2 linked regions of the Rhinolophus ferrumequinum genome follow. The protein of the gene in region 2 purifies or fractionates together with the protein of the main gene of each other region. This does not show direct contact. Links are inferred from orthologs where the notes say so. Each region holds a gene or a part of one and is shown on either strand. Other genes may lie near its edges.

Region 1 (7,479 bases), on a different chromosome or scaffold from region 2:
GTCCCTTCCATTCTCTCTACCCTCTTGATCTGATAATATTTCAATTTCTAGCCAATACATAGTTGGCATTTTCATTGTTTGCCACTGATTATATTTCCTTTTTTGAAAAGGGTATGGAGGAGGAGTTTTAATTTTAAATCATGAGCACACAGAAAACATCAATACATTGCAATGATAAGATAGTAATGGTATACCTTCCAGGCTCTATGAAAACTCCATGAAATATTGTGAATTCAAAACAGCAATAATCTTACCTCTAATTGGGCTAGTTTTTCCTGAATCTTACAAAATTGGTCATCATCCACCTGAACTGCTTTCCTCATCACTTCTCCCATTTCACAGATTCTGTCAATCTGACTCTCAATTTCCTGGGAAGATATTAACACAAAAAAAGGTGAAAAAGTCATCTTTCCTACAGATAGGAAGTTCATGAGAACATGTGCAATACGATGTTAAAAAGTTCATTGAATTATGCTACAGGTTACACAGGAGTTTCACTGAGTCCTCAGAGGTGAAGCCATGATCAAGTTATCTTGTGGTATTCACAAATAATTTGTTTTCAAAAGATCAATTCTAGTCTAACCACCCACTGGATGTTGGACAATATCTCTTAACTGGCTGTTTAACTTAAATTAGAATATTGGCAAGCTCTGCATATTCTAAGGTACCTTATTCTGTCTATGTACTTATCTCTTAGAAAGTCTTTCATGAGCTAAATTCTGTGTCCTTCAAGGTTCAAGTTTTCTCCTCTAGTCTAAAGAAAATAAAGTTTATTTTTCTCTTCTAGATGAAAGCCATAAACATATTTAAAACATCCCTGTTCCCTAAGACTTTTGTTAAGTCAGTAAAATGTTTTCAGTAGAACCTAAGAAAACTTTTCATAAATTCCACTGTAGCAAATAGTGAGGCACCATTCTATTAAGCCAGGATTAAATGATTTAGTACATGTGAATACACAATGACAACTATGAAGCACTCTACAGACAGAAGAACAATTACTGGGTCTCCCAAATTAAGTTATGAACAACCAAAGTGTAGAAACTATACCATGTATGTATTTTTAAACCATACTTCTCTCTCTTAACAAGAGTGTGCTCGGTAGCTCAGTTTAATAAAGGTTTACTGACTGCCTGCTATGTGCCAGGTACTATGTTAGGGATAAAAGATGAATTCATACTTCTTACAGCCAAGGAGTTTACAGTGTAGTGAAATGTGCAGTAATAACCCATCAAGTATTTACTCAGCACCTTCAACACTAACTGGCATTATGTTTGGTGGAAGAACTAAGCATTCATCAACATCTTGGAAAGAGATCTTGGTGAGGGAAGGAGGAACCTTGGTCCTACTCAAATAAAAGGACTTGAGCAGCCCCTCACCTCCTTCTTTCTATTCATATCTTGACACAGCTATAGCAAAATCAACAGCGAATCTAATAAACACGAAAGGAAAACACACTAACTTTTCTTCAGAAGCAAGCACACAATCGAAAACAATTCCAAGATTTCAATTTTCAGTTCACTGAGAATTTACTCCTCAAAGTGACTTACAGCAGAGTGAGACTGGTGAGCTTTCAGGACTGGTTCAGCATCCACAGCTTTTTTAGCAACCATTAATTGTAACATCTGTTTCCGGTACTTGCTCATGATGAGTTCCAAAGCATCCTGGTGTTCCTCCAAGGAAACCCATAGCTCTATATCAAAAAATGAAATAACTTGGCAGTGATGCCTGAAAGATAGCTCTCAAAGCCAAGCCAAATTCTTACCAGTTGGAATTGTATGGCACTCCATGAGCTGTTGTTACTCCAAAGTTGTAAATCAGTGTTCAGCTCCACAAAACTCAACAGTTAAGGTCTATGTGAAACAAAACTTTCTAGGCAGAGGCAGCATAGTTTGGTAGAAACATGGGATACAGAATCAGAAGGCATGGGCTTGAGTTCAGTTCTGTGAGTTACTAGCTTAATGCTCTTAAGCAAATCACTTAACCTCTTTGAACCTATTTCTTATCTGCATTGTAATAATACCAGCTTGTTTGAACTCAAAATGAAGATACAAGAATACAATGGGATGACCTATGTGGAAACCCTCTGTAAACGAGTATACAAATGACTATTCACAGTCATTAATAACGTACTCATCCAGACCAAGAATACATTCCCTAAAGTAAAAAATTCAGCTCTCCCACCTTGCACAAGAACATTAAAAATACCTTCGATCTTAATTTTAGTACTTATTTCAATTAATATTTAAACATTGAATTTTAATCCCTTGAGGATATTAATTCTTTTGTTGTGCAAGCCTCCAACTGGGGAGGCCTAAATAAAGCCACGCAACAATTCAACTCTGCTAAGCACCTCTTTGATAAGCTGCCTACAAATAAAATGAGTCGGACAACCTTGAAAAGAGTAATGTAACAAACTTTATTGTTACCGGGCCAGCACAGGGTAACGCTCTTATTAAAAGTAGTGACCTGGAAGTACATACAGCGTGTGCACGTTTGTGAACAGGTCGGCAGGTTTGCAAGAACTTTTGAATTATTACCGGATATAACAAAATCATAGTAACTCCACAAAAAGGACTGACTAACCTCTGTTTTCCTGCTGCAAGTCTCTAATCTGTGTATTCTCTTGGGACAGCAGAATGTGAGGTTTGTATTTGGACATGTCCTTTATATCGGATGCATCCTCTTGATACTGGACAAACAGAGACAGACGAAGCGCGCCGTCAACAGAACAGCCGCAGATGCAGGAACCTAAGAGGCAGGAGTCAGGGCTCCGGCGCAGCATTCTCATCCCCGACCCCGCAGGAAGCTCTCACCGCCGCCCTCTGAGACCAGACAGAAGACATTCCAGGCCAAGTTCCCACTCGACCTCGCCTTCCACCTGTCAAGTGCCCAGAACCTGAGAACACGGACCCGTCCCTACCCTCTGCCTGACCTGGTCCGGAAGCGCTGTGCCCGCCTCCCGCATAGCCGCTACCCGCCGGTGCAGCGCCGCCGACTGATCCACCAGCGACTCGGCGGCCGCATCGTGCTCCCGCAGCCTCTCCAGCAGCGTCTTAGCGTCTGTCAGGATCTTCTCGATGGTGCAGCTCATAGCGGCCGCGGGACCACAGCTCCAGCGCTGCTCCCCTAAGCGAACCGCTCGGCTCCTCCCCCACCTGTCTCAGCGGCAATAACGTCACTTCCGGGTACGCTTAAAAGGCGCCGGGGCAGCCGTGAGATGCGCCTGCGCGGTGGCATCCTACTCCTCCAAGGACCCTTTCCTCAGTGGCTTCCCTGGGCCCCGCCCTTGGCAGAGCCTGAGGCCTGCCCTCGCCACGCCCTTGGTTTCCTGTTCCCACAGCCTGGTGGTGGAGTTTTAGCTGGGCGGTCCCAGTTTCTACTTTCCCTATTGGTTTTTGATAGATGTGGATTCTTATTAAGTCATCTTTTTTCCCCCCATTTAGTTTTTGAAAAATCGTGGTCAAATACACCTAAAATTTATCATCTTAACCATTTTTTAAATGTACAGCTCGACAGTATTAACTGTATTCACCATGTGCCACTATCACCACCATCTATTTTTCTCCAGAAATCTTTTCATCTTGCAAAACTGGAACTCTGTAGCCATTAAACATTAACTCCCTATTTGGCCCTCCTCTCAACCCCTGGCAACCTCTATTCTACTTTCTGTCTCTATGAATGTGACTACTTTGGGTACCTCATGTAAGTGGAAACATACAAATCACATTTGTCATTTTGTGACTGGCTTATTTCACTTAGCATAATGTCCTCAAGGTTCATCCATCCATGTCACAAAAAAATTTCCTATCTTTTTAGGGCTGAATATATCTATCTATCTCACATTTTGTTTATTCATCCATTGATAGATATTTGGGTTGCTTCCACATTTTGGCTACTGTGAATAATGCTGTTACGAACATGGGCGTACAAATATCTGTTTGAGTCCCTGCTTTCAATTCTTTTGGGTGTGTACACTGAAGTGGAATTGTTGGGTCATATGATAATTCTTATTTTAAAAATTTTGAGGAATGACCATAATGTTTTCCACAGTGGCTGCACCATTTGACATTTTCACCAACAGTGCTTAGTGGTTCCAATTTCTCTACATCCTTGCTATTTTCGGTTTTTCCTCCACACTATTTTCTGAGTTTTTTTTTTGTTGTTGTTGTTGTTGTTATTTGATAGTCATCTTAATGGGTGTGAGATGGAGTCATTGTTTTCTGTTTGCCTATATCTTCTATTTTAATTCAATTAATAACTTGAGGATAAATTTAACCAGAAGAGCAATGACTTTTGTGCTGCTTGTTATAATGGTTTATGAGTTTACCTTGTCAAGCTTGTACGTCAAACTTTGTTCTTTTTCATTCATTACTTTAGTAAATATTTTTGGAGAGCCTTCTTTTCAGGAACTGTTTAGTGTCTGGAAATACAGCATTATCTTTGCTTCTAAACCTGTTCCTTCTCCTGTTTCAGTAAAGAGCACATTTATACACCTATTTGCTCAAAACAGAATCCTGGAAGTCATCCCTTACTCTTCCTACGAATTCTTTACACTAATCAGTTACCAAAGCAACCTATCTCTTTTATATCTTTGGGAGATATTTCCTTCTTTGTATTTTCACTGCTACTCACCCAGATGAAGCCACAGTCTTCCAGCTGGTCTTCTCCCTACCTCAAGTCATCTCCACAGCTCTAGCACAACCCCTTGCTGCCCTTTCAGTGGCAGGCAATTATCTTTCTATGTACCACCCACATTAAGACAGAGCAAGACGGGTCATACTAATTCCCCAGTGACACTGATAAACAATTACTCTTACTTGCGATGTAAAACCTCCACATTATTTAAAGTTTGTATCATCCAGCTGAAGAATCTTCTATCTCTCCTTCTGACTACCAATGATTAACCTTCTACCTTGAATATTCCCCTTCATTCATAGAAGATTTCAGGAGTTGGCTTATAGTCTTTTTGATTAATCCATGTGTGGTTCTCACCTTGGATGACATTCATGTCCATGGGGACAATTCATCTAATGTTCTATCCTTCCTCAGCCCCCTCAGTTCTAGAGACATTCAATTTTTTTTTTCGGTTACCTATGGCCAAACCCTTGATCATTTACCAAAAATTGTTCCTCATCAGAAATGTTAAGCTTTACCATCTAATTCTTTGACCACAGCCTTTGTTTCAACCTGTCTAGTTCTTGCAACCCTTTATTCCACTACTATCTCTGACATCATCCAGCTCTCCGATTTCTGAATATATCAATATTCCCCCTACCTATCAGACTCTTTTCTTTCTTTTTTAATTAAAGTTTATTGGGGTGACAATTGTTAGTAAAGTTGCATAGATTTCAGGTGTACAATTCTGTATTGCATCATCTATAAATCCCATTGTGTGTTCACCACCTAGAGTCAGTTCTCCTTCCATCACCATATATTTCAGACTCTTTTCTTGTGGTCTAATTTTCTTTCCCTGACCAGACTGGGCTCTTATGATTGGCGGTCAGAACCATTGTCTTTCTAACATCCCTAATTTCTTTGCACCTCTCTTTTTAAGCCAAATGCAAGCAGTTAACTCTAACCCTTGACCAATCCAATGATTCTAGTAGTGGTTAAAAGGGGATACAGAAATAAGAGAGGGTTCTTGTTTATGTTTTTTATTTTGTTTTTATGAACAAGTCTTGAGCATGCTTATAGGCTTTATAGAGGAAGGATCCAATCAAGAAAGAGATACAAGGGCCGGCCCGGTGGCTCAGGCGGTTAGAGCTCCGTGCTTCTAACTCCGAAGGCTGCTAGTTCGATTCCCACATGGGCCAGTGGGCTCTCAACCACAAGGTTGCCAGTTCAATTCCTTGAGTCCCGCAAGGGATGGTGGGCAGAGCCCCCTGCAATTAAGATTGAACATGGCACCTTGAGCTGAGCTGCCCCTGAGCTCCCAGATGGCTCAGTTGGTTGGAGCGCGTCCTCTCACAAGGTTGCCAGTTCGATTCCTTGATTCCCGCAAGGGATGGTGGGCTGCGCCCCCTGCAACTAGCAATGGCAACTGGACCTGGAGCTGAGCTGCGCCCTCCACAACTAAGATTGAAAGGACAACAAACTTGTGTTGGAAAAAAGTCCTGGAAGTACACACTGTTCCCCAATAAAAGTCCTATTCCCCTTCCCCAATAAAATCTTATATAAAAAAAAGAAACAGATACAAGAGAGTAGGGGACATTTGAGGGAAGAGAAGGGACACAATAGCTATTTAATAGACCTTTGTTGATTATTTATTAGGATGGTGGGCTGAAGAATCTGGATTTGAATAGAATAAGAAACATTTCATTCTCCTTAATTCGAAAGAAAATAAAAAGGATAGATATAAATATGGATTCGAGATGGGGAAACATGAAATTGAAGGGACCTGTAACTTTCAAGCCATCCCAATACTTCTGCATCCCACCCATCAATAAACCAATAAGATAAGCTCAGGCACTTCTAGTGCTGTTTATGGGTATTACACAAACTGCCCAAGACCTCTTTTGCTTGTTCTGACTTATTTCCATTCTGACCTAATTTCTGTCTGGCTCCTGTTTCTCGGTTCCATTTCCTCTTTATTATTTCACTCTTACTCTTTTGGGTCAGGAAGTGATTTTGGGTCTCCCTCCCTTTATTCTCAGCTCTCAGATGGCCCTATCAGCAGTTCTACTTGTGCCTCTCTCAGAGTATACACCTTAGCCCAGTGATCCTCCGATGATCCAAATGCCAAATGTGACTCCTACACACTTACATGAACTCTAGGGAGGGAGACACTTGGACATTTTTCTAGAAATACCTCTTCTAGTACCATGCCCATTGCTGTAGCCACACCACACAGACAGGTAACAGACTTACTCCTTTCCCTGAACCTGAGAAACTCTGCTCAGAGGTATGAGAACACAGGGCTCTGGGAGCAGATGGTGGTTTCAATGGTCCACAACAGAGACAAGGGCAGAGATATTCGACTTTACCTGACCCCTTGTACCCCCATGGCTTCTTTCAGTGATTGTCCACACATATATGTCCCATATTGCATTTATTAAATACCCTATTTTGCTCCTTTTTCTTTCTACATGGTGAGTTTTGAACTCTCAGACCTATTTTTTCCTGTTGCTGCTAACTAATGGCTTTCTAGGACTCAGCCTTGAAAAACCACAGACCCTCATAATTATGGTGAAAGAAATCTCAACAAGATAGGGAGAAATGTTTAGTCTTCTAGCATGTCAGAAAAGCAGATATTAGTTTGTATTATAAAATTTTCCATGTGAATGTTAATTCTAATTAAGAGGCACTCTGACTTTAGATATTGTTGCTGTAGCCTATAAAAGTAAACTTTAATATCTACAAAGTCTGTAATTCTGATTGGTTGTCTTACTTAACTTAATGCCCTGGTAATAATATTTAAATTGACATCCCTATTTTCTAAAAGATTTAAATACACTTGGTTGTGGGTTGAACTGTGCCCCA
Region 2 (8,357 bases):
CCCACTCACTGCTAGCTGCTCTCTTGTGCTAGTCTAAGAAAATTTAAACCCCCCAAATAATAAATACTCCGATTCTTATGCATTTTGTTTGTTCTATCACTCCAACTAGACTGCATGTTTCTTTGAGGTCATCTAGCCCATTGTAGCACACACAGAAAATTCTCTCGAATTTTATGTATCCCATCTCCAAGTTTTTTCACAAATATAAACCTCAGCAATAATCTTGACCATTCTTTGACCACCTACTCTCACCTGCAATGGTGGTGGTTAGGGAGGAGGGGGATTATGAAAAGTAAAAAGAGAGTCTTATTAACTAAGATGGGCAAAGGGGAAGAAATGACAAATAAGTTTTGGTATAATGTGGCCAGTTCCTTATTCCCAAGATCTGAAGGAGGAAGTGATGAAGGCAGACCAGGTAGATAGCTGAGAGCGTGGATTGTCTTTCACAATTCTGACCTGGCAACCTGAAAAAGCAGGACTGACAGGTTCCTGAAGGGACACATTAGACTTAATCTTAAAGGTATTTTTGTTGACTTTGATGTTAATGACTTGAGAAGAGATTTTAAATTTAAAAAAAGGACACCAACTGATCCAAATTTCATCATCACTCATTCAACTCTTACTTCCTATTGTTTTTCCAGGAAAATTCCAATCGCAAAAGAAAAATGAAGGAATATGTTCAAATTTAACGATGTCAATGTAAAGAAATTATTTTTAAAATATAGTTTCAATAATGCTAATACGGGGATCAAAACCATAGATTTCTGCAAACTCTCTCCCCCTCTAAAAGACATAATACTTGCTCTGTTTGGAAAATAGGATGTATTTTTTAAAGTTCCTCTGTGGATGCTTAATTTGAGCACAAACCCAAAACCAAAAAATACTGTAGAAATGTAGTGTCCTTAATATGATGAGTACCAATGGGAAACCTACCTTAAGTTTAACATTTGCCATAAATAACCCCGTAAGTGGTGTGTGTGTGTTCAACAACTGAACAATGTTAAAATTAACACCTGCCTTTAACACTTCCTTTAAGTCTGAAATCCACAAGTTCATTTATGGAATGCACTTCTAACAAAGGTGAATTACCAATATTTGAATGAAGCATTTAAGTCTGCTGGTTACTATACTGACACGGTCAGATTCACTACAAGAAAAATTACAAATTATCAAAAGACCAGATACAAAAGCAACATAATAGTAGGGATGAAAAAGCCACCAAATATAAACATACAACTGCAGAACTAAAGGAATCAGAAGGAATCTTAGAAATTGTGGGTCACTTCTTCACTTCCTTCCACTCCTCCCAGAGGCCTTCCCTGACCACCCCCTCTAAAATAGCTGCCCCTATCACACTTTATTCCTGTATCCTGAATTATCTTTCTCAAAGCAGTTGCCACTATGGCAACTGAATGAAGAAACTGAAGTTCAGAGAGGTTAAAGGATTTCCTCAAGGTCACAGAGCTAGCAGCAAGCACAGTCCATACTATAACCCTGTCTACTATAACCTGTCCCCTTGCTCTTTCCATTGCCACTTGCACTGTATCAAAGCATCCTGTTCCAGCAGATTCTATTTAACAGATTTCTCCTTTTCATTTTTTTAAGTGCCAAGGAAAATACATGTTACCAAAAAAAGAGTAACAAACACTGGGTAGCATTTTAACTACAAGTGTTTCACCAACCAAAACAACGTATATTCAGATTTCATCAGCATACAGGATTAGCCAGTAAAACAGAAAGGCACAGCTACGCATAGTTAGGTTCCCTGTGAAATTGGTGCATGGCTTGGAAGTTGTAAGAACAGCCACTGAAACCTATTTACCAATTCAGAATGGCCCGTAAAGTATCAGCCTCACTTTCATTCTTCTAAGAGCCCACAATAGGTCCTCCCTGGATATACTTTTACCTTGCAGATTATACAAGGAAATGTAACCAACTTTAAAGCCCCTTTTAGTTCCTTTTGAAGTGAACGTCAATTTCACAAAACACTGAACATAAAATTAATCCTTGGGAAGTTTTTGATTCTAAGAACAGGAAACCATCTCTGAACCATCATCTGATTGCGATTATCTAGGTTCTTCATTTTAAAATCCACGAATCTGAAATACCTAAAGGAAAAGTGGCAGCAGGGAGAGGGAGAGGGAAAGAGAAAAAACACTCACATATGTAAGAAGGGAGCTGATATTCCTAGTTACACTTCTGCCCTACGTCAGCTTCTTGCCTAAGTCAAGGCCTCACAGACACAACTTCTGATGTCTTCTTTGATCACCTTCCTCTCAGAGAGGAGCCAACTGCCAATACCTACGGCGGGGAACGTCTCTAGACCTAAGATGGGACTCACTGGGACAGGATGATTTGCTCGACATCTTTCAAAACTACTGTCAGCCCAATTAGTATACTCAGAGAGAAGACCTAAAATGAGGGATGGCAAGAGTTGAAATGAGAGAGTTAGGAGAAGGAAGGAGTAGAAGAAAAGGAGCGGGGAGGGTAAACAACGCGTCAGGGCGGGAATGGGAACCCGAGTCAAGGAAGTGGGGTCAGCCTAAAGCAAAGGTGAAGGGGGAAGGGGACAGTTCTGGGTAGGATGGGCAGGAGCAAAGGGGAGTGGACCAGCGAGGGCAGAGGGGGGAGGGGAAAGGGTCCGGGGCGGGGCGGAAGAGAGCAAAGAGGCGGGATAAAAAGGGCCAGGCCGGGAGGGTCTTTACCTGCAGCTCCGCCCGCTCCACCTCCCACTGGGCTCTCTCCACCTCGAAGCGGGCCCACTCATGCTGGAGGAAATGCAGGATCCCGGGTAAGCTGTACTGGGCTCGGGCCGCCCCTGCCGCAGCCGCCCCGTCGCCGGCCGCTGCAGCCTCCGCCAGAGGCCCGAGACCCTTGGCACCGCCGGCGCCCGGATGGTTGTTGCTGAAGAAGACTCCGGGACCCGCTTGCTCGTCCATGGCGGCCGCGGAAACCTGGGGTGCTGCCCAGGCGCCCAGCAGCGGAGGCAACGGCGGCGGCCAGCAGCGCCTCCTCCTCCCTCCGCCGCTCCCCGCCCACACCCCAGTCAGCAGGGAGCAGCCGCCTGGGCGCGGGGGCCGGCCGAGCCCGGGACGGGCCGGGAAATGGGTCAACTGCGGCGCGCGGGCGCCCTGCGGCCTGCTGGGAAATGTAGTCGCGGGGCGGGGCGACGGCGAGCGTGGCTGAGGCGGCCTGTGGGGCTGCGGAAGGCTCCGACGCGCCGCGGCCCCGCCCCTGCCCGCGGCGGTGGGGACCCGCCCCTCCGCGAGTGCAGGTTTCCTCACAGGTGGGGCAGGACGGGGCGCGGCAGGGCGACACTTCGGGGTCCGTCGCACGCGGAAGTTCACGGGTGGCGCTCCTTGTTGCACACACAGGCACACACACGCACACACGGAAGTTAGGCCAACACACACACACACACACGGAAGTTATCAGGCTGAAATATCAGCCCGTACTGCACATCTTTTAGGGCTTGCTGATAGTTCTGTTAAGAAACAAGCTCAAAGCAAGCTTCTCTGGGCCGGCCCGTGGACGGAGTTTCTTCAGCCTCTCCCTTGGGCTCTGACTTTGGTTTTTCTCTGACCCTAGACACTCCTCAGTTCTGCCAATCTGCGTATCGCTGTCGCTCCTCTTTTTCAGTTGGGGGTTCAAACCTGTTGCCTGATCAGTTTTCAAGGAACTCTCATGACCTCTCTTTCCTGTTCTGGTTGGTTGACATCTCATCTGAAAAAGTGCTCCGTTGAAGTCCCTTTCCCTTTGTAGTTAATCTTGCAGTAAATCTTTTAAAAAGTTTCAGATATCCAAGGTGATGTTATTCTGGTCTCTTTTTCCCTACCTTATGCCCGCGCAGTTTTTGCTCAAGTCAATTCAACAAATACTTAATTGTCGGTTATATCTGTCGCTAGGGATATAAAGATAAGTGACACAGTTCCTGTCATCAAAGGGAGGTTGGCAAGTATATAATCAATCTCACAGTGACTTAAAGCTATACTACTCGAAAGAACAAAGTCCCTTTCTGCTCCCTAGAAATGTTTTAGGTCTCCGGGCATTTCTCTCTTTTCACTTGTCCAGTTTCCAGTTTCGTCCACCGTTCACCTACAAACTAGCAACAGTATTAGCCTACCAAAGGCACACTAAAGTTCTTGAAGGTGTTTCTCTGTAAATATTATCTTTCCCTGAAGTCCCTGAAATTATGTCACTATATAAATTCACCCAATGCAAGGAACTCGCTTGAAAAAAAATATAGCAAATAAAATTAAGGACTCATTCTCTCTCCAAAATAATTTATTTGTAATTTTTTAGTTTTGTGGGATGGACTTCTGGGATATCAGACCCAGTGGCCATGAAAAAATTATATAGGCTGGTGAGTGACATGCCAGGGAAGGATATCCTGCCCCTGTCCCTGTCCTCTTCCCACCTCCCTTTCCATGACTACTTGTGGAAAGAACAGGAAACACATTGTATCTGCTCTAGTTGCAAATCAAGATGGCAAGTTTTGTTCTCCCACTTGTTGAATGTTTGTGCTTTATTCATTCTTTATTGTAATAAAAATTTGATCCAAGCCTGGCCAAATCACCAGTGTCATAAATTATTTTGGCTGTAAGTGGCCTTTGAGATACTGCCCAATCCTCTCATTTTACAGTTGAAGAAACTGAAGTCCAAAGAAGTTGAGACTTGTCCACAATCAGGCTTTGAGCAAGTGGCACAGCCAAAACTAGAAACCAGAATTCCTGACTGCTAGTTCATTGATCTTTCCTTTAACATGCTGCTTTCTCTCTTACTTATCAGACCTATCAGAGTATCAAGGGAGCAATAATGCAACAATGGTATATTTTTTTTATTTGAAGGATTTAAGTAATCTTAGAAGTTTTGAATGTTAAAAGTTGTTTTTCTCTAATAGAATACATATCTGACGATTCCTTTAAATTCCTAACACTAGTAAACATAATTAAATTTAATGGTTTAAGAACCCATAAGTCCTTTAGCTAGCCTCACCAAGAAAAAAAAGAGAACTCAAATAAAATCAGAAATGAAAGGAGATATTACAACTGTTACCACAGAAATAGAAAGGATCAAGAGACTACTATGAACAATTATAGGTCAAATTGTACAACCTAGAAGAAATGGATAAGTTTCTAGAAACATACAACCTACCAAGACAGAATCATGAAGAAACAGAGAAGCTGAATAGACCAAAAACTAATAGAGAGCTTGAATCAGTAATCAAATGCCTCCCAACAAACAAAAGTCAAGGACCAGATGGCTTCACAGGTGAATTCTACCAAACATCCAAAGAAGAATTAATACCAGTAATTCTCAAACTCTTCCAAAAAATAGAAATGGAAGGAACTTTTCCAAACTCATTTTATAAGGGCAGCATTACCCTGATTCCAATACTAGTTAAGGTTACCACAAGAAAAGAATATTAGGCTAATATCCCTGATGAACACAGATGCAAAAATCCTCAACAAACTATTAGCAAAGCAAATAAAACGATACATTAAAAGGATCAAACAGGGGGCCGGCCCGGTGGCTCAGGCGGTTGGAGCTCCGTGCTCCTAATGCCGAAGGCTGACGGTTCAATTCCCACATGGGCCAGTGGGCTCTCAACCACAAGGTTGTAGGTTCGATTCCTTGACTCCCACAAGGGATGGTGGGCTGCGCCCCCTGCAACTAGCAACGGCAACTGGACCTGGAGCTGAGCTGTGCCCTGCACAACTAAGATTGAAAGGACAACAACTTGACTTGGAAAAAGTCCTGGAAATACACACTGTTCCCCAATAAAATCCTGTTCTCCTTCCCCAATAAAATCTTTAAAAAAAAAAAAAAAAAAAGGATCAAACACCATTATTAAGTGGGATTTATTCCAGGGAGGCAAGGCTGGTTCAGTATCAATAAATCAGTCAATGTGATACGTAACATTAACAAAATGAAGGATAAAAATCATGATCATCTTAATAGATGCAAAAGAAGCATTTGACAAAATTCAACATCGATTTATGATAACAAAGTGGGCATAAATGAAACACTTCAATATAACGAAGGCCATATATAACAAGCCCACAATGAACATCATTCCCTACAGTGAGAAGCTGAAAGCTTTTCCTCTAAGATCGGGAACAAGAGAAGAATATCCATTGTTGCCACTTTTATTCAATATGGTATTGGAAGTCCTAGCCAGAGCAATTAGGAAAGTAAAAGAATTGAAAGTCCTCCAAGCTGGAAAGGAAGAAGTACAACTGTCCCTATTTGCAGATGATATGATATAAACAAAAAACCATAAACATTCCTTCAAAAAACTATTAGAAGTAATAAATGAATTCAGTAATTTGCAGGATACAAAATGAATACACAAAAATCTGTTGTGTTTACACTAGCAATGAACTATCATTGTGTACACTAACAATGAACTATCAGAAAGAAATGAAGAAAACAATCCCATTTGCAATTGCGTCAAAAGTAATAAAATACAGGTAAATTTAACCAAGGTGAAAGAGTGGTATACCAAAAACTATAAGATATTACGGAAAGAAATTGAAGAAGACACAAATAAGTGGAAAAATACTCCATGCTCATGGATTTGGAGACTTAATATTGTTAAAATGTGCACATTACCCAAAGCAATCTACAGATTCAATGTAATCCCTGTCAAAATACCAATGACATTTTTCATAGAAATAGAACAAACCTAAAATTTATATGGAACCACAAAAGACCTGTGAATTTTTCCCCCTTTGTGCTTATGTCTTTCACATTTTCTGTATTCAGCATGAAGTACTTTTTAAAGAACATTTTATCACATATAACAGAGAAAATCTCACAAGTGATAAGTGAACACCTCAGTGAACGTTCACAAACTGAATGAATCCTTACATATAACCACCGCCCAGATCATGAAACATTTCAGGAATCCCAGAAGACTCTCTCGATGAGCATTCACAAACACTACAGCAAAATGTTTTTAAATTTGAAAAAAAAATTCTGAAAAAATAGCTAGAAAGGACATGACATTTATAATTAGTTAAACCTAAATTATCTTCCCCACTCTACACTTTTCCAAATGGGAACATCTTGGACAAATGGCTTAACCTTTTTCTGCTGCAAGTCTCTCATTTTTAATATGAGAATAATATTTACCTTATAAAGTCACTATGAGATTAAATGAGAGAAGAAATGTAAATTCCCTAGCATAGGGCCTCACATACAATATACAGTGAAAAGTGATAGCTATTATTGTAATAGAGTTCACACGACTGAAATCACACATGTAAAATTCATAAATACTAGGGGCTTAACCATTATTCTTTTTTCTTTCTCATTCCTTATTCAGAACTTTAATTCAGCAGAATTAAAATAATCTTTTAAAACATTAATGTGTATGCCCAACCAGTAAGCCTCAGACCTCAAGGTATTGCTGATTTCCAGATCATTTCATTTTAGAATTAATAAAGCCTTGTGACACAAAAACAGGGTTTCCTTTCCAAGCACAGAGCAGCTGTCAAAATGTTGATTATATATATCGATGTACCCAGTTTAAAATGAAAAATTGTAGCATGCTAATATCTTACTTAGATAATTGGAGTGCTGGCTATTTTTTTGGCTTATGTGTGTGTCCTTTGTAGGGTGGGGATTATAATTCTACAAAATGGCAAATAATTCATCAGTTTGTTTGTTTTTTTTTTCATTAATATGAGTGGCTATTAAAAAAAAAAAAAGTTCAAAATGACCTGTTCTTTAGGTCTCTGACTCTAACTGCTCAAAGAAAAGGCTTCAAATTGAACCAGATGGCTTTCAGAATTCTGCCAAGAAAAAAAAAAAAAGGTGGACCACTTGACTGGAGAGAAGCTTCTGCTAGGATGAATGGAACTTTGGGGAAGAGGAACATGCAATAGCCCACTGTTTATCAACCTCTTGTACCATCTGCCACTCCCTAATTTCTCTCACCTCTCCTTCCTGTCTACCCTCCTTCAGGGGTTAGTCCTCAGCCTCCAAACTTATTCTCTAGATTTGAAGTCTGGTAATGACTGGGTTAGGGAAACAGCCCATCACAAGCTGGGAAGTAAAGGCAGTCCTTTATCGGAAATTTTTTTTGGAGTCCAAGAATTAAATCTACATCACAATTTTGTGATAGGATGGAAACATAGCCTCTATTATTGATTATTGTTATATTGCTTTCTTTTGGAAGAGTATGACTGAAATTAGAGAGTTGCCTAATTTTAACTTTTAAAATTAAATTTAACTTTAATTAATTTGAATAAACTTAACTAGTTAAACAAAATTTAATTTCAAAATGTAAATTGATTATTTTGTAGTGGCTGATATTTAGAGAAATAAATACTTAAAATCTAAAATCAACA

Evidence for each region. The genes of interacting proteins can lie anywhere in the genome.
Region 1: the proteins of STRN (region 2) and SIKE1 purify together in Homo sapiens (affinity purification with mass spectrometry; 4 studies listed by BioGRID and IntAct, with this or other methods). This does not show direct contact. The link is inferred for Rhinolophus ferrumequinum from reciprocal best matches to the Homo sapiens genes STRN and SIKE1.

The regions. Positions count from the first base shown.
Region 1 is NC_046305.1:45,449,399-45,456,877, forward strand, and holds the start of SIKE1 (suppressor of IKBKE 1), read right to left. Parts: upstream 3,155-7,479; 5' UTR 3,092-3,154; coding exon 2,933-3,091; intron 2,690-2,932; coding exon 2,584-2,689; intron 1,691-2,583; coding exon 1,548-1,690; intron 369-1,547; coding exon 255-368; intron 1-254.
Region 2 is NC_046296.1:46,311,748-46,320,104, reverse strand, and holds the start of STRN (striatin), read right to left. Parts: upstream 3,084-8,357; 5' UTR 2,940-3,083; coding exon 2,706-2,939; intron 1-2,705. UniProt on the Homo sapiens protein: Calmodulin-binding scaffolding protein which is the center of the striatin-interacting phosphatase and kinase (STRIPAK) complexes.